Cricetulus griseus: one gene and its partners. The protein of the gene in region 3 purifies or fractionates together with the protein of the main gene of each other region. This does not show direct contact. Links are inferred from orthologs where the notes say so. Each region holds a gene or a part of one and is shown on either strand. Other genes may lie near its edges. The genes, in order: Hif1a, Mitf and Sumo1.

Region 1 (7,617 bases), on a different chromosome or scaffold from region 3:
TAGTCCCAGCACTCAGAAAGCAGAGGCAGGTGGATCTCTGTGAGTTCGATGTCTTGAACTACCCCCACCCCCCAAAAACAATAAAAACATCACCAATATGAAAATAAAAATTTAAATAAAATTCACTAATTAAAATATTCAACTTATTTGAATTGAAACATTCTTTGAGAATAGGGGTGGTGACAAGAACACTCGAAACACAAGCAGAGTAAGGCATTTGTGCAATGCACACAATAAAAAGGCCACAAAATTACTCGTCAGCATTAACACATGAGACATCATCTACAGATGATCTTACAATATAATGCTAATGACCATAGTCTTTATGAGAGGCGCCATACTTTCTTGGTGGAAATAATATAGTGATGTCATTCATAAGATAGGAAAGAAGAGGGAAAGGGATGATGAACAACCACCCAGCTTCATGTCTGGCATCAGCGTACTTTTAGCTAACCCATTACATGTTCAATTTATGAAACCAACTAAGAATACAAAGACTGATGTATACAACCCTTGCCTTCAAGTAGTTTATATCCAATGTGAAATGGATAAGATCACAATACACTGTGATCACTCCTAAGATGGGGAAAGGATGTTTCATAGAAAGGTGAACAAGCTGGAATTTGGGCTCAAGTAACAATCATGAGGCAGACTGGGAGAGGAAGAATAGTTTTATATAAAGGCAAAAAAACCACAAAAGAACTCTTTAAACTAAGATGATTCTTTGGGCTTAGAAGTGGTAAGGCATGGAGTTTGATCCTAGCATCAAAAATATCCCCCCAAAGAAACAATAGAAACTAGAAGTTGTAAGAACAAAAACAATGGCCCAAAGTCTTCACAAGACAGGTGACCTGGATTTTGGTAGCATCCGTGAAAGTTATGCTGGAGAATGCTGGCACAGCCCTGCAAACCTACATAGGGCAGCTGAAAATTCAAGGCTGGTCTGGTCTACAGTGAGTTCTAGGCCAGCCAAGCCTACTCACAGTGAGACAGGAAAAAAGAAGGGGAAGGGTATGGAACATAGGAAAATGAGCTATCCACATTAGAGAACTCTGCCTGGCAATTAAATTAGAATGTTTTGGTCATGTGAAGAGTGACTAAATGGGGCACAGCTTGCTGAAATAACTTATAGCATTCATGACTGTAACAAAAGCCCTGTGTCACAACACACAGCCTGTCACAGTGCCCTCCTACAAGACAGCCATTTAACTTTCACAGAATCTTTTGGCCCCAGGATAGCAGCTGCTTAAAACACAACTACCAGGAAAACAGATCCACAGACTGATTAAAAAAAAAAAATGATACTCTTTTGTGGATCACTGGAATAGCTGGTTTGGAAAGTTGGGCCAGAGTATAAATCATAATCCAGTAGAAGAAGTAAAAATAAAACTCAGTTTTTATCATTTTATATCTTCTTAATAAAGGCACATAAATGTAGAAAGTGTCTCTTCACAATCTTACCTCACAACGTAGTTCACACACACAATGCACTGTGGCTGAGAGTTCTTTGTATTATATATGACAGTTGCTTGAGTTTCAACCCAGACATATCCACCTCTTTTGGCAAGCATCCTGTACTGTCCTGTGGTGACTTGTCCTTTAGTAAACACTAGGGATAATAAAGGATTGCAAAGAAAACAACTCAATTTTCAATAAAAAAAAAAAGTGATGAATGTAGACTGTTGGGTTTTGTTTTTTGCTTTTTTTTTTTCCAGGCCAGGGTCTCTCTATGTAGCCTTGGCTGTCCTGAAACTCCTTATGTAGACCAGGTTGGCCTCACACCCAGAGATCTGCCTGCCTCTGCCTCCCCAGTGCTGGGGGTAAAGGCTGGTGCTGCTGTGCTTGACTGAACCATTGCTGTTGGTTTGTTTGTTTGTTTCAAGGGAGATATACTTAAATAAATAGTTGTGACTGTTTAAAATGAGAAAGGCCAAACATACCTAAAAACAAACCCCAAAGAAATTTCCTATCTTAAGCCAGGAGTGAAGGACAAGGTGTCTGCAGTTTCTTTAATGACTTATGGTGAAAGTGTCAGACTAGAGACTGATCACAGGGTACATTTAAGAAAATGGAGCTGGGTAGTGGTGGTGCACCTCTTTAGTCTCAGCACTCAGGAGGCAGAGGCAAGCAGATCTCTGTGAGTTCGAGGCCAGCCTGGTCTACAAAGCTACATAGAAACCCTGTCTCAAAAATAAAAAAAGGGGCTGGCCAGGTGGCTCTGTGGTTAAAAGCACTGGCTGTTCTTCCAGAAGTCCTGAGTTCAATTCCCAGCACCTACATGGCAGTTTACAACTGTCTATAACTCCAGTTCCAGGAGATCTCACATCAATGCACATAAAATAGTTAAATAAATTCTTTTTAAGAAAAAAAAAAAGAAAGAAAATGGTACCAGTTTTTTTAAGCACCAGAGAACCAATCACTGTAAAAAATTATACTCAGAACATTTGAATATATAAGTTCATGTCATACTATAGCCTTCTGTCAATTCATGCAGTCTAAATTAATTACTGACTTAAGAGAATGTAGTAAATCAATCATGATGATGCCGTTGTGAGTATCCATGCTCTGACTACAACTTAGGCATACTCTGTAGTTCAAGGCAAATTACACTAATTCAATGATACTCAACTCAGTACCCTCAATCATATTGGGAAGTCATGTTTAGGTCCAGATTAAATAGGCAAGTGAGGAATTATGAAGTTTAACTTAGTTTGGTATCATAGATTTATTTGAGTAAAATTCAGAAACCTCCTATATGTCAAGGGTGTCAGTTATCACATGTGTATACTAATCCTACTCACTAGTTCATGAACAAATGCTTTGTGACTACCTCCTATTGACCAACCACTGATTTCAGTACATATGTACGTAGGCTAGATAATCTATAATATTTGACTTTTATGGGATACTTTATGTATTTATTATTAAATGACTTTACTTTTTGCTAATATTTGTAACAAAACAATAATTTCATTATCAAGACATCTTATGAAGGGGCTGTAGGATGCTTGTCTAAGGAGACTGGGTGGTAATTTTAACTAGAAAGTAGAGGTACAGTACAGACTGCAGGACTTAAGCAATGACACTATTTCCTTGAGTTCCTCTACTGTACTTACTGTCATGATGAGTTTTGGTCAGATGATCAGAGTCCAAAGCATGATAATATTCATAAATTGAGCGTCCCAAAAGTTCTTCTGGCTCATAACCCATCAACTCAGTAATTCTGTTTAAAAAAAAAAAAGATTATCTTTTGCTTAATAAGTTTAGAACTCACACTTAACTATTCTATACTTTGGCTGGGCAGTGGATTCCTTTAATCCCAGCACTCTGGAAGCAGAAACAGGTGGATCTCTGTGAACTTGAGGCCAGCCTGGTTTACTGACAGAGTTCCTGGACATCAGGGCTATACAGAGATACCCTGTCTCAGAAAACAAACAAAAAACCAAACAACAAAACCAAAAAACACCCCATCCCCCCCCCCCCCCCCCGGCAAAACAAACCAAACAAAAAAACCCCAAATTCTGTACTTAGTATAAAGTCACTTAGATCAGTCCCTGATATCTGACTTATCCCTTTTACCCAAACTCATGACCTATTTTTTAAAACACATTTCATTATACACACTGTTGGTATCAAAGCAGGGTATATTAGTAAATCTTAATGATGCTAAATGAAATGACAAAAGTTCCAAAGACAGTCACAATTATCTTAAAATACAGTATAAATCTATAGCAGTTTATTTTTCATTCAGTGAAAATCTTTACCCTATTTTTAGGCCTGTGGCAAGGCCTCACTTTAATATCAACTATAAAATTTCACTATTAAGCCAAGGACATCCATACTAAATGGAAAGTAAATATTAATTTTCTAAAATTAAGAGGATTTCACATGAAAGAACGGCATCTAAAAGAAAAAGGGCTGAAAACGGATTCAGGGAGCCTCCTGGTCCCTGGGTATCAGCCTGGAAACCATGAGGACCCATTTTATGAGAAAGACAAGTCTGTCCTCGTCACATTAAACCAATTACAAACATTTTTCACTGAAGTCTTTCTGGGAACAAACATGAACCAAGTGTTGACACTTCTCAGTTTAGATTCCAGAGGACTTAAAAAAAGCCAACAAACAAAAAAACCAAGGTGCAGGTAAAAGATACTCATATGTCTAAAAAGCAAACACCTAATTACAGAATGGGCATAAGGAAGGTATCTTTGTTCATAACAGTATGTTAAATAATATAGCTTAGCTGTTACAGTTTAAGATCTGCCATTTACTCTAAAACCAACAAAGCAGATTTATTGAAGCATAAATCAAACTTTGACTCTTCAAAAAGGGATAACCAAAATACACCAACACTAGATGGCAGCATTACAAAGATAAATAAAATATACTTTAAAAATATGTGTTTTCTCCTTCATCCCAGAATGGTAGTAGGGATTAAATCTAGAGCAGTGATTCTCAACCTTCCTACTGCTGAGACTCTCTAACACAATCCCTCATGTTGTGGTGACCCCCAATCATAAAATTATTTTCATTGTTACTTTATAACTAATTTTGCTACTGTTCTGAATCATAATGTAAACATCTGTGTTTTCCAATGGTCTTGGGCCCCCTGTGAAAGGGCCTGTCAACTGTCAAAAGGGACATGACTCACTGGTTGAGAACCCTGATATGGGGGCTCACAATGCTAGACAAAGGTCCTCCCTACCCCATCTTGGTGCTGGTGATTTGGAGCTGGTGATTTGTACTAGTTTTCAGTTTTAAATGTTTGCTAAGAATTTCTTGCTCTATACCACCTCAGAATCAAGACACAGAAAAAAATTTGCCCAATTTTAAGAAAACCTTTACATCACATTTCTAGCATCCAGGACCATTAAAATGGGCCATCAGGTAAGGCACCTGCTACCAAACTTGGCAGCGTGAATTCAGTTTCTGGAACCCACGTGGTGGAAGGTGAGAATGAACTCCCACAAACTGTCCTCTGTCCTCTACCTTTGTGCTGTGACCCACATGAACCCACATACATGCACTCACACATGCTACCGCTGAGTGTGGAGGTGCATCTAGCCCTAAAAATTATTTGAATTGCTCTTACATAGTTTTACACACGTAAATAAAATTCCAACATAATGAAATACTTTTTAATTAAACATTCATGTTTCTGGTGTAATTCTAGACATGAAAACACAATGAGAAAACCTAACCTGTGGGCAATCTTCTGGTAAATAACTTGCTTGTCATTTTATTATATTTAGATTTAATTGCACACTTTTTCTTTCTTTCTTTTTTTTGAGACACAGACAGACTACAAAGTCCTGACTAGACTGGAGTCCGTATGTAGTCCAGGCTGGCTTTGAACTTTTGGTGACTTCCCTGTCTCAGCCTCCCAAGTGTTTTGAGATCACAGACATAAACCACCACATCCAGAATGTACAGCATCTTTTGATAAATAAAAATCTTCCCATCTACAATCCTACAAGAAACAACTGATGCATTTCTAATAAGAAATTGGCATAATCTGATCATTACCTTGGGAAGCCCTCTTTGGGCACAATGGGTGTAAGAGTAAAAGGGCACAGATCTGTTGGTAGAAATGAAGCTCACAAGTTTGTGGGAACAACTCAGGCCAAAGGTAATGAAGTAAAGAATTCATGACAGGAGCACAAAGGTAGATAGAACAATGAGGAGAGACAGTTGAATGAACAATGCATTTACAATACTTAGAGACCAACTAAGTGTAATGTGTGGTAAAAGTTAGAGTCAACAGTGCTATGTCAACAACACTAGGCATCACAAGAGGAGTAGCAATCTGTCATGCTGCTGTTTGGGAACAGCAGTGGTTCAGTTCAGGAACACAAGTATTTACTTCATTATACAGAAAACGATCTAGACAGGAATATCAAGTTGGCAGTTACACACAAGTAGTAACAGATTTGGGAAATGGGGACAGGAACTGTGGGTGGAGTTGAAGGTGCTCAAGGAGAACATATAGGTTAAAGACCAAAATTTTGTTGCCTACTCTATATAAGCTTTAGGTCTTTGAAATTTACATTCTCAAGATTCCCTAAAGCAAAAGAACGTCATGATTTTTGTGGTTGTTTCAATACCTTTTGAATGCTTGGACAAGTGATCCATCTGACCTACATCCCTATCCTGAAACATATTTTTGTGAGACAGCTTACTTTCAACTCCCTTTCCTCCTGCCCATCTCCCAGTTGCTGAGATTACAGGAGTGTGCCACCAGATCCATCTGAGAATCTCATCTTAATAGATTTGCAGAACACCTGGCAGAATATTTATAGTACACAGTCAATGTTTAATAGATGCATGAATTTACAAAGCTAATCTTATGTTTTTTTTGTGTTCCAGGATGCATCTTTATATTTAATTTCATGAACACATGCAGTGTACCATTAAGTTTTTACTACAGTGAGTGTAAAAAGGCTACAGAGAAATTTAAAATTTAAAAGTATAAAATAGAATTAATTTACCTTTCATCACAGTAAGAAAATTTCATATCCAGGCTGTGTCGACTGAGAAAAGTCTTGCTATCTAAAGGAATTTCAATATTTGATGGATGAGGAATGGGTTCACAAATCAGCACCAAGCATGTCATGGGCGGTTTCTTGTACCCACACTGAGGTTGGTTACTGTTGGTATCATATACATGAATATGGCCTGTGCAGTGAAGCACCTGTGCATGAGCAAGAAAACAAGCAGTTATCTTTTTTTTTTTTTTTAAAGGGGCAAAAAGAAATATAGGTCAGTAATTGAGTTTGACCTGACAAACTTTGATAGATGTGTATCTTTGAAAATAAAAAAAAAAAAAGTTTTTCCCATGACACCATCTACAATCTAATCTATGTATTACAGTTATTTTAAAGTAAGTAGGGGTAGGGGAAGAGCTGGAGAGCTGGCTTGGCAGTTAAGATGTAAGATATTTAGGTATTTTTTTTAAAGAACATTTTGAGGGTGGGGTTCTGGAGAGATGAGTTAGTGGTTAAGAGTACTTACTACTTTCCCAGAGGACCAAGATGTGATTCCTAGCACCCACATGGCAGCTCACAACCACCTGTAATTCTAGTTCCAGAGGATCTGATGCCTTTTCATTTCTTCAGGCACCAAGCATGTATGTATATTATGCACATAAAATAAAAACTAGGAATCACTTATAATACATAATATGGATCTAATGTCCTCTTCGGGCCTCTGCAAGCATTTGGTACACTTACATACATCCAAGTAAAACACACACACACACACACACACACACACACACACACACACACACACACACCCCACATGTGCACACGTGTGCACACACATGCATGCAAAACAAAAATAATAAATGAGTCTTTTTTTTAAAAGTCCCCTTGTGTAAATCTGGGCTGTCTTCTTCACCCATCTTATTATTATAGTTGATTTTGCTGTGTTGATTATGGTTCAGTATTGAACAAGGAAATGAAACAGTGATGAGGAGAAAAATTAAACTAAAACAGGATTTAAATACTAGTTGCCAAAGCCAACTGACTATGTTAGCTTGGTATTGAAATACCACATTTCCCATAATTTAAGTTTATATCTCAAACTGGTAAGTTACGTCATTGTTTTGAATGGAGA
Region 2 (7,617 bases), on a different chromosome or scaffold from region 3:
GATTAACCTGAAAACACCGATTTCACTTGTCAAAATGAGTAGTTCAATCCACTGATAGTGGGTTACTGGTGACAGGACTTTGTGTGTGTGCATGTGAAAATTGAATGTTGGCCTTTCTTCTAGCATGTTCTAACAAATACACTGGGAAATAGAGAGCCCTAATGTGCACTCTCCACCTCAGCACCCATCTGCCTTCACTGAGAAGTGGTATGCACTGACCATGCCCCTTAATGCTTTAAAAATGAAATCAATATCTCACTGAGGCTATACCACCAGAAAAAAAATGTGTTTAATGTAATAGATCACTTTCAAAATGCATGTAATCAGCCTGTGTTTCCATTACTAATGTTTTGAAGATACAAATTCACGAAAATTTTTCCAGATCAAACAAATCAACTGTTTCTCTATAGCCACTTCATGAAACTGTGTTGTATGATTTAAAAGGAACAAAAGAAAAAGGGAGAGAGCACTGCTGGTTGCATTTCTATGAAGCATTTCATGGTATTTTCATACACTAAGCTTATGAAACTATTTTTATAAAGCATGAAGTCTTACATTTCTCAAGGAATCACCAACGGAAACTTGCCTTAACATTTATGTTTGAATGTTTTACAATATTGCCTCAGATGAATGAAATCCTGTTTACATTTGGTCCTTAGAAGCAGCAAAACTGATCTGAACAGCTACTAGCTCCCCACAGGATGTTAGCCCAACAAGTCCTTCTCCTTTATGGGACACACTTGACTCTTACATAGCCAAAGGAGAAACACTCTAAAGTTAAAGTAGAGGTAATGACTGTTGAGTATGATAGACAATAATTTAATTTGATTGGGTCCTGTCTTTTAGCTCTAATAATTTATTTTTGCTTTAACTTGGGGCATTTTTCTGGTATTCTTTAGTTGTGGGGGGACTACAGTTCAATCCAGTGTTACCAGAATAAACAGAGTATAAGGGAAAATGCATAAATTATTAAGTTGTTTAATTTACATGTTAATTGTAATAAGGCTAGAAAATATTTTAAACATTTAAGAATTAAGCAAACTTTAGGATAATATTGAAATGATGTTCCTACACATTTATTTTATGGTAATTTATCCACCACCCCATATAACCACTCTAATAGGAAAATCTATTTCAATTTAAATACTACAATATAACATTAAACATTACCTTCTATCTGGATGTAAACCACTATGCTCAAATCCATGTCACCACCTCTAAAATTTGCTTTTCAGTTAAAAAAATCTTAAGATTATAGTGAATAAAACAGATACATGTTTCTGCATTGTGATTATAGAGGTCATGCTGCTTAGATAAAGTATAAACAGAATGATCATGACTCTCGCAAACAGGAAACAATAATCAAATGGGGACTCTCAAGTTCTACTCAGGCAGAACAGAGAGAGTCCATATATAGTTCATTCTATGGCAAAAAGATGCTTTTGCTTGATAGGGTGATAGAAGACTAAGAGTCATAATTGTGGCATTGCTCAGAATTTCAGTCATGTTAAAGTAAAATTTTATGCGGAAACCAGTTGCATCATTTTTGCTTTATTAGCAAAATTTCAACTGGTTTCTCTACCTAAGGGTTCCATAATGGTATCCTTAAATTTGAAAGTCTTTGTAAATATATGTGTGCGACTTTAAAGTCATTGTTAAAGAATTCCTGAAGGAGCCTGTGTGTAGCACATCACTCCTGTTCACTTTAAGAATAAACTTTAAGTAGGGGGAGATGGATGGATTTTCTTTTTTCTAAGCACAAGGGTAAAGCAAAGACTGACAATGCATGTGCAGGTTGAGGAGTTCACATTGCTTACTGAACAGGAACACTTGGCTCTTCACAATCAATCAATTAGGCGGATGGGTAAAATAATAATAATAATAAATGAAAAACAAGGAGGCTTCCCCACTTCTAGATTTTCTGGAACCAGTCGTATTTACAAATTGAAATGTTTATGAAGCAAGGCAACTCCCCATGTGGCAGGGAGGACAATGTGGGAGACGGAGGTCTATGGTCAGAGCGGCTACAACTTCCTCTCATAATTAGGAAGCTATGTGTCCCTGATGGAAGGACGTTAACAAGCTCCTGCAGTTTCCACTCTAGCAAGATATCAAAGAGACCCAAAGCAGACAGCTCACTTCAGTAAAAGGATTATGAGGTCTGGTTGTTAAGGCACAGACAGTGCTTGACCACAGTCTTCTTTCTGAAAAGACTTTCTGAAACAATTAGCTCTTAGGGTCAGCAGGATTTGCTAACTGAAGAGCAAAGTTAAAGTGTGGCCCCGGAAAGCATTTGTGAAAACATACACACAAGTTTCTAGAAGAGGCCTCTTTCAGATAACTCTTACGCTTGAAACCATTTCCAAAAACAAGACTGAGAAATGTTGCTCATTATAGAAAACAGCAGATCCCATTTGGGATTGGTCATGAAAACATTTCCACCATTCACGGGTTGCTATAACCTATACAGTTAGTCCAAATCCTTCTTTTAAAAGACAAAGCCTCATAGGAACCACTGGGCATGATGCTTATAAATAAGAATCTAATACCAAAACAAGCAAAGTCACAGTCCAGCGAATATGACACATAGGGCTGGAAAAGGGACAGGCTCAGTCCAAACACAGGGGCAACACTCACATACCTTGAGGACTTCCATCGGCACCTGGGTGGCAGAGGGAAGGGTGGTGGGCACGCTGACGTTTATGGCTGGTGTCTGACTCACAGGCACTCTCTGTTGCATGAACTGGGCTGCCTGCAGCTTCTGCTGCTGTTCCCTGCGCTCCTGCTCCTGCATCTGCTCACGCATGAGTTGCTGGCGTAGCAAGATGCGTGATGTCATACTGGAGGAGCTTAATGGAGGCTTGGAGGCCCCAGGATGCTCTGCGGAACTGCTGTGGGGAAACCAGAAGGCACACACCATTTAGTATCCTGATGAGACCCATCACCTGCATCGCGGGATATCCTAAATGCCACCAAACTGGGAGGTGAGTCTGCACAGATATAATCAAGGCAAGGCACGGCACTCCATGTAATTGAAAATCAAGAGGTGACAGGATTCTAGTCATTAGGAGTTGAATTAAACAAGTCAGGCTGATTGCGTCTAGGTATTTTTACCAAATCACTTATTTCTTTTTGACATTTATGCCACACACCACTGAATAAAACACCACCATATGCAGCAACTAGAAGCCATCCATCTCAATGGCACCCAAGTCTCCACAGTTAAAAACAAATTACTTGACTTGCTGTCTTAAATAGCTAAGTCTAAGTAACCAAGGACTCCTACATGTTATCTAAATTCCTTGAAGATGTCTAATATGGTTGCTAGGAAGGAAACACTGTTACAGGAAAGATTTTTGAAGACAACAAATGAAACAAATCATTAATGAAGAAGCATCTGAACCAGACATTGATACTGCACTCCACCCCTGTTTTGAGCAAGGGACAGAAGAGAAGCTGCACTGACAACCCAACTCTTTTCCTCCTAGTTTTCTTTGTGTGTCTTTCCTTGTGACTGACTCATCTGGGCATGTCCACGGCATCAGTGTTCTGTGCTTTCTCCATGAGGTCTACTTCTAAAGGTCAGGGACTCATTCTGTTCACTATTATCTAACATGCTTAAATGCGAGGAAGGTGAGAAAAAAAAAGAGTTCCTATTTTCCCTAGGTGAGGCTTTGGGTTGCTTATCTTGCCAATTCTGTGATATGCACAGATAATTAACCTCTTTCTGCCTGGTTTTCCATACCTGGAAGAGCTGTATACCGCATTTTCGCTATTTATTAAAGTGGGCTTATATTCTTTAAGTATCTGTACCACTGTACTGTACCACTTGTATCAAAAGCCTTCCCTCCTAAGGACTTACTGGTGTTGTGAGAGTTAAATACAGCAGTGCCCATAATCCCCACCTACAATGATCATTGCCCTGCTATATGTTTATGCTTGCAATTATTATCATCCAGTATAGGAATCAAACTTAATTATAATTATTCAAATCTCTATGCAACCTTATAAAACAATATTTTGGCTTCTGGAAAGAGAAAAATATGAATATTTGCATCCATCACACTTTAGGAATGGCATCTAAACTTAACTTGCCTCTTGAGCACAAACCCCACACTGTGTTTACCTTCCTACCACAGACAAAAGTCCTGAAGCCCCTGGCTACCTCTGTGAATAACCAAAGGACAAGTAACAGGTGTGCTGCAGGACAAAGATTTGTGTCACACTATCACGTAGTCCCCTAAACAGCCCAGAAGCTTATTTTCCATACAGAAAGTCAGTAAATTATAATAATTCATAAAATGTAATATCATGCATTCACTAAAATGCCATAAAAACAAATCTGCTGATATGAATAAAATTATACAATAGTTTTTAAATCCAGGTGAAAAATATCATTCTAGGTAGTATCCAATTAAAAAGCAAACCATGTTCATGACAAGAAAAGCATAATGATAGTGTATTACTATTATCCTTTATGAAAATTACATCTAAAAGCTAAAAATAAATTATTCATTTTGTTTCAGAAAGTTCCTTGACATGTAATTGTTGAAAGAACTCAAAAGTGGAAGAATTCACAAATATAAAGGCTTTTAAAGATTTCAAAAATATCCGGAGTCACCTAATTTTCCCTTCAAATGAGACCATAGCTAATTAAGTAAATTATGACATGAATTCAGCAACATAGTACCTTATTTCTTTAAAAATGCAAACGGAACAGCAAAGTAGGATATGCATGCAGTAAGCATAAGTCACAAATTTGGATTCCAATATGCATTTACAGGCTGATGCAGAGTAAGCCCAGCATGTGTGTGTAAGTGCACAAAGTGCCTAGCAGGGAATGTGTAGGACAACAACATTTGCTTGAGTGAGGATCAACTCAGGAAAATCAATTGTCTTTTAACTTTTCTCCTTTAAGCTACAATAAAACTAAAGTATTTTTTTCAGTGGCAATATATATGCACTAGACACTACAGAAAGTGGCAAAATGACAGGGGATCAGCATCACCACTAGGCTAGAAGAAAGGTGACTTGATCTATCAGACAATATTTCAACTACAAGAAGGGATTACAGTGTCCTAATCCAGGGTATCAGCTCTTCTGGGTGTCTTCAACAGCCCCACACATAAAACATCTTTCTTCTGCTGTTTCTCTTGCATTCCCTATAAATACACAGAACACCGAGAGAGTGGCATCTACACTTTGCTTATTATCTTAACATTGTACATTCCTCCACACAACCAAAAAGCTCCCCAACCATTCGTCGGTCTGTTCATCTAAAATCATCTATTCACTGCCAAAAAGAGCATCCGAAGAAAATGTATTTCCCACTTTGGAGTGCGTCTTCAAAGCTCAAATGTACTTTCCTAAGCCAAGAAAAGATGGGAGGTGGCTATTTAAAAAGAAACAAGTGGTCTGGCTATTCAAAGCCTGTCAGGTACAAGCATTCTCAGAGAGAATGATCCTTTTGATAAAAACAAGAGCCAACCTTTGTGTGGGTGCAAATGGAGCTGTGGCATAATCGTGCTAATTAACTGCACAAGACAACCCACTGGCTGCAATACCAGGGGAGGGGAATCCTTTCAATTAACAATAAAGCATCCCAGAGACAAATTAAAATTATTAGTGAGCAACCCACTAAGGCTTCATACTTTAACCTCAATAACAAAACCATTTAAAGTAGCTTCTATAATAGTCTATCAGGAAAGAAACAATACAGACCTGTTCAATAGGACGATACGGATATGGGGAACCTTATGAAAGAAACAATAGTAAACATAGTTTACATTTATAGAAAATAGAATAAAACTCAGCCAACTGACATTTTAACAAGGCTTCTAAAGGAGGTAGGAAGCATTGGGGTTATTTCACTACATACACATGCCCTGTAGGATATTTCCACATTGTGGGACATGACTACCAGATTCTCAGCTTTGGCTTGCCATCTTTTGAGTGTCCACTTATCTTAGAAACAACTAAATCCACAATTATAACCTCGTAGACAAAGACAGACACAACTAGAATATAATCCACTCACAGAACAAGAGAGCATGGTTTGTGAGTTTATGAAAGGGTTAGTAAGGAATGAAAGCTTAGCTAATGAATATTCCAAGTGGCTGGAATGGCTACTTTTAAGAAGGGGGGCTTCCTGACAGAGCCACTAACAACATATATCCAGAGATACCGGAGTGTATCTAATTTTAATAGCTAACTGGGCTCATTGTTGAGCCTACAAACCTCAGCTCTAGCTAGATAATCCTAATTCCATGAGTATGATTCCTTTTAACCCGATTACGTGAAGTTCATTGATTCAACAAATAATGACTACCAGGTGCTAGGGACACCTGGCTTCTAACCCCACAGTGAAAGCCCTGGCCACACTAATTCTCACAGATGCCTTCAGAAGAAGTCAATTGTCTAGACTTCTGGATTCTGATCTAGTTCTGCATGGAAAAGTGTATATTACTCTTCTCAGAAAGAAAATCCCATAGGCATGGCTGCAAGTGCATTTGCTGACACTGGCCAAACAAATTCCCTGAGCGTGAGACTTCCTCCATGCTAGTCAAGGAGGAGGCCACAAAGTGGAATGGAGTTGTACTTCCTATTCTAATTTACTCTTTATTCCTTTATACCACTATATTCTATTTCTTCTTCTTTGGAAGAAGTGTCAACTCTTTCTCCCTGGTACTTAACTATCTACCCAATCTCTATTGCTAATCAAATCAGTTATACGCCACAACCTGACAGTAAGACCTTATTGTCAAGGGCATTATATTCTTATGTCATTAAATATGAAGAAACCGAACTGGTACTCAGTCCTCCCTTCAAGGCTAAAGGATCTATTCAGAAGGGCAAAAAGATTTTAACAGACAGAGGTGGTGGACAACTGCAGGAAAATAGTATTTTCCAGATACAACAGGGCTGATGCACACATGAACTCACAGAGACTGTAATAGAAATCCACATAAGTTCAAACCAGACAAAAGTCCCAGCATGCAGAAGGGGATGTAGGTGCAAAGCCCCATGGCTGATCAAGAAGCTATTGCAATTGGTAGTTTCCAGGGAAGGGAAAATCTGTTTTCTCCAGTTGAGTGACACTGGGTATATCAACCACACTCCATGGAAGGCTGGATGCCCAGAAGTAGAAGGCCAACTCAAAATGGACTCTCTGGGGGTGTGTGTGTGTGTGTGTGTGTGTGTGTGTGTGTGTGTGTGTGTGTGTGTGTGTGTGTGTGTGTGTGTGTGTGTGTGTATGCTATTTTGTTTATTTTGACTTAGGGTTTCTTTTTAAGAGAAGGAACAGAAGTTGTGTAGATAGGGAGGGGGAGGATCTGAGAGCGAAGAAAGAATATGATCAAAAATATTACATGAAAAAATTTAATTAAAAAATTAAAAACAAAAAGAGACGTCATAAGCCAACATGTGAACTTTGCTATTTCCTCATTTTATCACCATAACTTATCTCCATTTTGCACAGACACCACTAGGGGTTGACACACTCTTGATGCCTGGGACTTTTACAGGAACTCCCCTCTGAGGCAGACCACTGGAAGTATACAAAAGAGGTGAAACGCCACACTTAAGTTTCTGTTCTTCAAATGAAGCTTCCACTAGAAC
Region 3 (8,307 bases):
ACAATGCTAAATATCATTTGAATATTCTTTGTGAAGCATTGTAGCTGTTTTTGCTTTCTATGGAGGCTATTTCTGGAAAAGCATACAAAATTGGGTCTGAGCTTGAGGCAGAACCATCCTTTTGGGGAATAAACAATCAGATGTTGGGGGAAGGCCCCACAGAAATCATACCTATTTTTTGCTTTTACAGCACAAAGCCATAAATGGGGTCTTATCTGCAACCCCAAAGTTAAAAATACAACAGCTGAAAATACATTCTCTGTGTCTCTGTCTCTCTCTCTGAGTTAGGTTTTCTCTGTGTTACAGCTCTGGCTGTCCTGGAACTAGCTCTGTAGACCAGGCTGACTTCTAACTCACAGAGATCCCTCCTAAGTGATGGGACTAAAGGTGTGTGCCAAATGCATTCTTTTTTTCTTTTCTTTCTTTTTCTTTTTCTTTCTTTTTTTTTTTTTTTTGGTTTTTCGAGACAGGGTTTCTCTGTGTAGCTTTGGAGCCTATCCTGGCACTCACTCTGGAGACCAGGCTGGCCTTGAACTCACAGAGATCCACCTGCCTCTGCCTCCTGAGTGCTGGGATTAAAGGCATGTGCCACCAACGCCCGGCTGCTCTGTCCGTCATTTTTTTGTTGTGTTTTGAACACTAATGACAAAAGTTAAACTTTTGATACATTCCAAATTTTCAGTTTTCCTTTGGTTATTTGTGCTTTTGGTGTCATATCTAAAAACCCATCATTTATCTAATCCAAGCTGGGTGAGTGTAAATGGAGTTCTTAACTGGTCTAAGTAATAAAAACCCAGAGTCAGATATAGAGGAAAATGCTGAGAGATCAGAGAGAAGGAGCAACCCACGGCCACACCTTATCTACTTAGTGTCTCAGCAGACAAGAGAGCGAGTTCCTTTTTCTCCCTGTTTCTGTCCAGGTACCTCACTTCCTGTCTGTCTGTACACATCTCCAGATCTCTATGGTTAGCTAGTGGCAAGCTCCATTCTCTGACCCCCAGACAGGCTTTATTTGTGCAATCAAGATATCACCACAGGTGCGGTATTGGAAACTTGAAATTCTAGTAGTTGGAAGGCTGACACAGCAAGAGCTGAGTTCCAGGACAGCCTGGGCCAAATATAAACACCCTGCCTCCAAAAACATAATCAACAAATAAAAGTCATAAAGATTTGTTTGTATTCTCTCCTAAGAGTTTTGCTTTTAGGTCTTTGTGCTGGATAGTTTTACATCAACTTGACAGGAGCTAAAGTCATCTGAGAGGAGGTATCCTCAATTAAGAAAATGCCTCTAGCCTGGCAGAAGTGGTACATGCCTTTAATCCCATCTTTTGGGAAACAGAAGCAGGAGGATCTCTGTGAGTTAGAGGCCAGCCTGGTCTACAGAGTTAGTTCCAGGACAGCTAGGGCTACACAGAAAAACCCTGTCTCAAAAAAAAAAAAAAAAAAAAAAAAAACAACAGCAACAACAAAAAACCAAACCAAACCAAATAAACAAAAAAAGAAAATGCCTCTGTTTTCTGGAGTAGTGATTGATGGGTGGTTCCATCTCTAGGCTGGTGGTTCTGGGTTCTGTAAGAGAGCAAGCTGAGCAAGCCATGGAGAGCAATCCAGTAAGCCAAAAGCAGTACCCCTCAATGGTCTCTGCATTAGCTCCTGCCTCAAGGTTCCCACCCTATTTGAGTTCCTGTCCTGGCTTCCTTCAATAATGGACTACGATGTGGAAGTAAAAGCCAAATATACTCTTTCCTCCCCGGTTTACTTTTTTGTCAGTGTTTCATCACAGCAATAGACCCTAACTAATAATAGTAAAAATAATAAAAAGAAACCCTAAGACACCTTTGAAACATTTTAATTTTGTATATGCAGTGAGATAGGGATTCAAATTCTTTCTTTTGCATGTGAACTTCCAGTAGTCTCATTACCAATTATATTGCTATTTTTAATTTTTAAATGCTTAAACGTGTATGGGTGGGTGTTTTCATCTGCATGCATGTTTATGCCGTATATGGAGGCCTGGCCTGGTGCTGACAAAGCTAGAAAAAGGCATTGGGTACTCTGGGACTGGAGTTACAGGTTAGGTGTGAATGAGTATGTGGGTGTTGGGAATCAAACCCGAGTTCTCTGGAAGAACAACCAGTGCTCCTTGGCCGCTGGGCCATCTCTAGTCGCCTCATTACTAACTATAGAAAAGATTCTTTTTTTTTTTTTAAATAAAGACTTCCTAGATTTTTTAAAAGATTTATTTATTTATCATGTATACAGTGCATGCCAGAAGAGGGCACCATATCACAATACAGATGGTTATGAGCCACCATGTGGTTGCTGGGAATTGAACTCAGAACCTCTGGAAGAACAGTCAGTGCTCTTAAACCCTGAGCCATCTCTCCAGCCCCTAAGAAAAGATTCTTTTTTTTTTAATAGATTTTATTTATTATGTATACAACATTCTGCTTCCATGTATATCTGCACACCAGAAGAGGGCACCAGATCTCATAAGGGATGGTGAGCCACCATGTGGTTGCTGGGAATTGAACTCAGGACTTCTGGAAGAGCAGTCAGTGCTCTTAACCTCTGAGCCATCTCTCCAGTCCGAAAAGATTCTTTTACTAACGTCTTATACTGTGAAAGGTTATTGATTTATTTAGAATTTTCATTTTTGCCGGGGGTTGGGGGGCGTGGTGGCACATGCCTCTAACGCAGCAGAGTCTAGAATAGTCTACAGAGTTCCAGGACAGGCTCCAAAGCTACACAGAGAAACTCTGTATCGGAAAAACACACACAACAATTATTTTTTCAATTTTACTCTTTTTACTTATATATCCGTAATCCACACTTAATGCCTGTGCAAGAAGGTCGTGGTAGTCAAAGAATTTTAGGTCTTTCTGTGACGAAAGGCAAATAGTTAATAGGTTGGAGGTAGCTCCTTCTGCCTATAACTTCAAACTTAAAAACTTTCAACATTTTAGTCATCTACAGCTCTTAAAACTGTCCTAGAGCTGGGGGCAGAGGTAGGAGACTCTATGTGAGTTCGAGGCCAGGCTGATCTACATAGTTCTAGAGCGGCCAGGGTTGCTCAAAAAACAAAAATAAAAACAAAAAATATGTGTTCTAAGGGGTCGTCTTTTCGTTGTGGTCCTAAATCAAGGTCATGAGTGTGCTGGCAGCAAACAAGAGAAGGTAATAAAAATATTATACCGGCGATTCCCTATATTTAGGGACGGTTAGTAAGGTTGGGAGCAGACAAAAGAACTTGGTTTAGCTCGGAGAAGCGCGCAAGGTGTCCGAGAGGGAGGAGTCTAGGATGTCGGTTTGACCCCAAACATTCAGCCTGGTGGCGATGCCCTGGTCTCCCTAGGGGGCTGAGGCAGCCGGCCGGGTCTCCCAGCGGCAGAACACACAGTCGTTCTCTTGCTCCGGGCAAGCAATTTTACAGGTCAGACGCCCCAAGGCCTTTCCCCAAGGCGTTTTCCCGCCTCCTTTTCCCGTCTTCCCAAAGTCTCCTTTGCGCGCAGCGGAAGTGACGCAATACGTAGCGGAAGTCCCTGCAGCCGCGGTGTTGTGCTGTGGGGAAGAGACAGATTTGTAAACCTCAGAGTGAGGTTCTGCCTGCCGGAGGCCGCTGTGGTGCGGAGACCCCCGGGCGAAGCCACCATCACCATGTCTGACCAGGTACTGGGCCAGGGCATCGGGGCTCAGAGCTGTCGGCCGCTGGCTGGGCCCGGGGACCGCGGCGCGGGGGAGGGGACGCAGCTGGGGGAGGGGGCTGCTGCTGGGGAGGGGGCCGCGAGGGACGCGGAGCGCCCGGCCGAGTCGGGCCCAGCCGCCCGGGACCGCGGGGCTCCGGGGAACACCCGCCCTCCGCCGCCTTCCCCGCGCCCCCCTCCCGCTGCCCCGCGCCGCGGCTCTCTCGACGGCTCCCAGGTTTCTCGCGGGTCCGCCGGGGGCCCAGGCCCGCTCCTCTGTCCCCGAGAGCAACCTAAGAGAAATCGACCGTTTCCCTTCAGAGGACCGATGGCAGAAACAGGGCCCCAGGCCTAGTTATGTAACGGGAGGGAATCCCTGACTGGGAGGGTAGGTAGCCCCGAAAAGCTGCTCCACTCCACTTTGGGTTCTTGGTCTCGGAGTGGGGGGCGGAGAGGAAGCCTGGCCTGAGGTTCCTGGGACCCAGAAGACGCTGCTTTCCGTTGTGTTTGCCGGGAGGGCCTGTCCGCCTCTGCTCCCTTCTGCGTCTTTTTTTTTTTTTTTTTTTTCCATCTGGGGGGTGCGGATCGGTCGGCTCTTTTTCTGTACTTTCCATTTCTTACTCGGGATTGGTCCATCAACTCTCTAGTTGTAGGAGAGTTCAGAATAACCGAGAAACAAACGAAACTAGGTTAGAGTACCACCACCAACAAGCCATTTATTTCATCTGGGCATTAGCCTGCTTATGATTGTTACATTTTCAAAAATGGCACTTTTTTTTAACATAGTCAATTTTATACACGTAAACGACGTATCTTGGTTATATGCACCTCCATATCACCCTCTTCCAGGTGATATTTTTGAGGAAAATAGAAAAACTGAATATTTACAGCTGCAGAATGTTTACAGAAAGCTGCCAATTAATAGTAAAATGCTGTGTCTCCGTATTAATGTTAAGAATTTGCATGGTATTGGCATTCAAATTAGGAATACTGCCACCTTAATTTCCTTCATCCCATTTTTGTTTACCACGTTTGTGGCTAGTTTTAATACATAGGATTTTTATCTGTTTTTCCTTTTGTTTGCTTAGAGGACTGAATTTTCAAATTTTTTTTGACGTTTGTCTATAATGATAATTATTCAGTAAACTTTTCATTCAGCACCACAGTGTAGTTGAACTGTTTTCTTTTAATTTAATCTTATTTATTTATTTATTTATTTATTTAATTGTTTTTCGATACAGGATTCTCTGTGTAGCCTTGGCTAACCTGGAACTGCTCTGTAGACCAGGCTGGCCTCAAACTCAGAGATTCCCAGCCTTTGCTTCCTGAGTGCTGGGATCAAAGGCATGCTTCCCCACCACCTGGATAATATGGTTCTATTTTTGTAGCCTATCCATAATGTAGATTAATTGTGGGGTAGATTTGTTTATAAATAATCTGGATTAATTCTGTTTAATCTGGATAGAAATTCGTTTATGAATATCTCTCCAGATAGTTCCGAGTAAGGGAGGAAAGATGAGCTGTAAATGCTTAGTTTCATCAGTCTTTTATTTTAGAAGGAACTAGAAGGCATGTCAGCCTGATGAAGGGCAACATACAGTTAGAAATTTTAAAATTATTTTTGCTCTAGTTTGAACTCACATCATTTAAGAATATGGAGAAAGGCTCTAAAGCTACACAGAGAAACCCTGTCTTGAAAAACTATTAAAAAAAAAAAAAGATTATGGAGAAAGGAAAAGAGAACCTAGGACACAGGCTGTTTTCAGGGGATCTGTGAAGCCACACTAGGGTGTAGTACTTGTTACTGGGCACTGAACTTAGGGCTCACATGTGTACATGCCAGACAAGCACTATACCACTGAGCTAGATCCGAATCTCTTATACTTAGTCTCACTATGTTGCCTAGGTTGTTCTTGAACTTCATTCTGTAGCACAAGGTGTCTTTGAACTCGGAATAAATACTCCTCCCTCACTTATCGTTGCAGAGTAGGGAGGATTAGAGTTATGCCATACCTGGCTAGTCCATGTGTGATTTGTTTATTTTTTTTTTTGTCCCGTGTTGTTCCCCCCCCCCCCCCCCAGGGTTTCTCTGTATTGCTTTGGAGGTTGTTCTGGAACTCTGCTCTGTAGACCAGGCTGGCCTCTGCCTCCCAAGTGCTGGGATTTTCTTTTGTTTTTGAGATAGGGTCTTACTATGTAACCTTGGCTGCCCTGGAACTCATTCTGTAGTTCAGGCTGGCCTGGAACTCACAGAGGTCTGCTTGCTTCTGTCCTCTGAGTGCTGGAGTGAAAGATGTGCATCACAATACCTGACAAACTTTTGTTTTGTTTTGTTTTGTTTTCAAGACAAGATTTCTTTGTAGCTTTGGAGCCTGTCCTGGAATTCACTTTGCCTGCTTCTGCCTCCCAAGTGCCACCACCACCTGGCCCAAAACAAGTCTTTTTAATTGAGCTACACAGTAAAGCAATATGCAAGAGTGTGAAATAGTGCTACTTTTAGAAATTTTGACTTGAAGAAAAAGTATGCTAACATTTTAGGGGTTATTTATTTTGTTTTCTAAGACAGAGTTTCTATGTGTAGCCCTGATTGTCCTGGAACTTGCTCTGCAGACCAGGCTGGCCTCAAACTCAGAGATCCTTTTGCCTCTGCCTTCCAAGTGCTGGGACAAAAAGTGTGTGCCACCATTGCCAGGCTGATGGGATTGTAAATAATTGAGAGTGTGTTACTAGATTTAGGAACAATTTATTGGTCTAGGCTGATTGACCTCATTACTATTAGTTCCCAGAATAAATTCAGTATTGAGTGTTAATTTTTTAGAGATGAAGGTTAAATGAATCCTTATCTTTTGTTTAGTTTTTTGTTTTTCAAGACAGGGTTTCTCTGTGGATTTGCAGGCTGTCCTCTGGAACTAGCTCTTGTAGACCAGGCTGGTCTGGAACTCACAGAGATCTGCCTGCCTCTACCTCCCCAGTGCTGGGACTAAAGGCATGCTCCACCAACACCTGGCTATGAATCCTTATCTTTAAGAGGCTAATAAGTGAGAACAGGAATCCCCAAATACTGCTGTGTAATAACAACACATGGAACTGAACTACTGTCTCCAGAAGATAGCCTTAGAGTGTATTTTCTTTGTCTGGGGGTGTAGGTCAGTGATAATGTGCTTGCCTTGAACAAGGATACCTTGTGTTACAGCTCCAGTACACATTTTGTTTTCTGAGGCAACTCTTAGCAGCTTTATCTTGTGCTTAAAATACTAAAGTTGAGTAATTAGTTTTTGCTTTTCTCTTAGTTTTTAGATGATCTCCCTGTGTATCCAGGCTAGCAGTGATCCTTCTGTTCTACTTTCCCAAGTTCTGGGATTACAGGTGTGTGCAACCATGCCCGGCTGTACAACTTCAGTTTAAAATAAGGACATTATGTGCACAAAGAGCTTACATTGTTGGGTTCTTCACTGATGAATACCCAATTATTATTTTTGATATTTGAATAAAAAATATGTGGGTTTTTTGGTTTTTGTTTCTTTTTTTTTTTTGGTTTTCGAGACAGGGTTTCCCTGTGGCTTTGGATGCTGTCCTGGAACTCGCTCTTGTAGACCAGGCTGGTCTTGAACTCACAGAGATCCGCTTGCCTCTGCCTCCCAAGTGCTGGGATTAAAGGTGTGTGCCACCACTGCCGCCCGGCTTGTATTTGGTTAAGACAGCTTTCTCTGTGTAGTCCTGGCTGACCTGGAACTTTGTAGACCAGGCTGGCTTTGAACTCAGAGATCCACCTGCTGCTGCTTCCTGAGTGCTGGGATTAAATGTGTATACCACCACCACTGTCCGCTGAAATACTTTTTTTAAATCTCATTACTCCGTAGTATAATTGTGGACAGCATTGATACATGGTTCTCCAAAAAAGATGAGGATTGTCCTATAACCATTAATAGAAGTTTGCTTAGCCTAATTTCACATTTCATCAAAACTGGAAGTATAAATATCAAAGGGATAAGAGTAATTTGAGTCAGTATTTTCCCTTTTTTCTTACAGTCTAGTTAAAATTGTTCTTCATTTTATATCAAATAATCAAAAGCAACTTTAGTGTAACAAAAACAAACAAAAATCAGCCCAGTTGGAAATAAACGTCTATCACCTAACTTTGGAAATGGATCCTGAATTATATCACTCAGTCAAATCCCTAAGATCAGCCTAGATTAATGGGAAAGATGTATCTCATTTCTCAATAGGAGTAAGAAAGAACTTGCAGTTATCTTTAGTCTACCTTATGACTTCTTTTCTGTTGCCATGATAGCATTTGTTTCTTTTTCCTTAATTTTTTTTTTTTGGGGGGGGGTTGAGACAGGGTTTCTCTGTGTGCCTTTGGAGCCTATCCTGGCACTGGCTCTTGTAGTCTAGGCTGGCCTGGAACTGAGATCCCCTGCTTTTGCCTCCTGAGTGCTGGGATTAAAGGCGTGTGCCACCAACACCCAGCAGGTTCTTATTCTTAGTCTCTGCTGATCTTGGTTAACAGCTGGAGTTTGCAGGAAATATTAAATGGTTATATCTTAAAATGTATAGCTTTCTTTACCACTCCTATCATAGAGCATATTAAACTATAGTAGTTAACTTTAACATCTAGTTAGTG

The links.
Region 1: the proteins of Sumo1 (region 3) and Hif1a purify together in Homo sapiens (co-immunoprecipitation; 3 studies listed by BioGRID and IntAct, with this or other methods). This does not show direct contact. The link is inferred for Cricetulus griseus from reciprocal best matches to the Homo sapiens genes SUMO1 and HIF1A.
Region 2: the proteins of Sumo1 (region 3) and Mitf purify together in Homo sapiens (affinity purification with western blotting; 3 studies listed by BioGRID and IntAct, with this or other methods). This does not show direct contact. The link is inferred for Cricetulus griseus from reciprocal best matches to the Homo sapiens genes SUMO1 and MITF.

What each region holds. Positions count from the first base shown.
Region 1 is NC_048598.1:129,462,560-129,470,176, forward strand, and holds part of Hif1a (hypoxia-inducible factor 1-alpha), read right to left. Parts: intron 6,692-7,617; coding exon 6,489-6,691; intron 3,224-6,488; coding exon 3,117-3,223; intron 1,610-3,116; coding exon 1,462-1,609; intron 1-1,461.
Region 2 is NC_048601.1:45,989,351-45,996,967, forward strand, and holds part of Mitf (microphthalmia-associated transcription factor), read right to left. Parts: intron 2,892-7,617; coding exon 2,642-2,891; intron 1-2,641. UniProt on the Homo sapiens protein: Transcription factor that acts as a master regulator of melanocyte survival and differentiation as well as melanosome biogenesis.
Region 3 is NC_048595.1:413,928,900-413,937,206, reverse strand, and holds the start of Sumo1 (small ubiquitin-related modifier 1), read left to right. Parts: upstream 1-3,512; 5' UTR 3,513-3,657; coding exon 3,658-3,669; intron 3,670-8,307. UniProt on the Homo sapiens protein: Ubiquitin-like protein that can be covalently attached to proteins as a monomer or a lysine-linked polymer.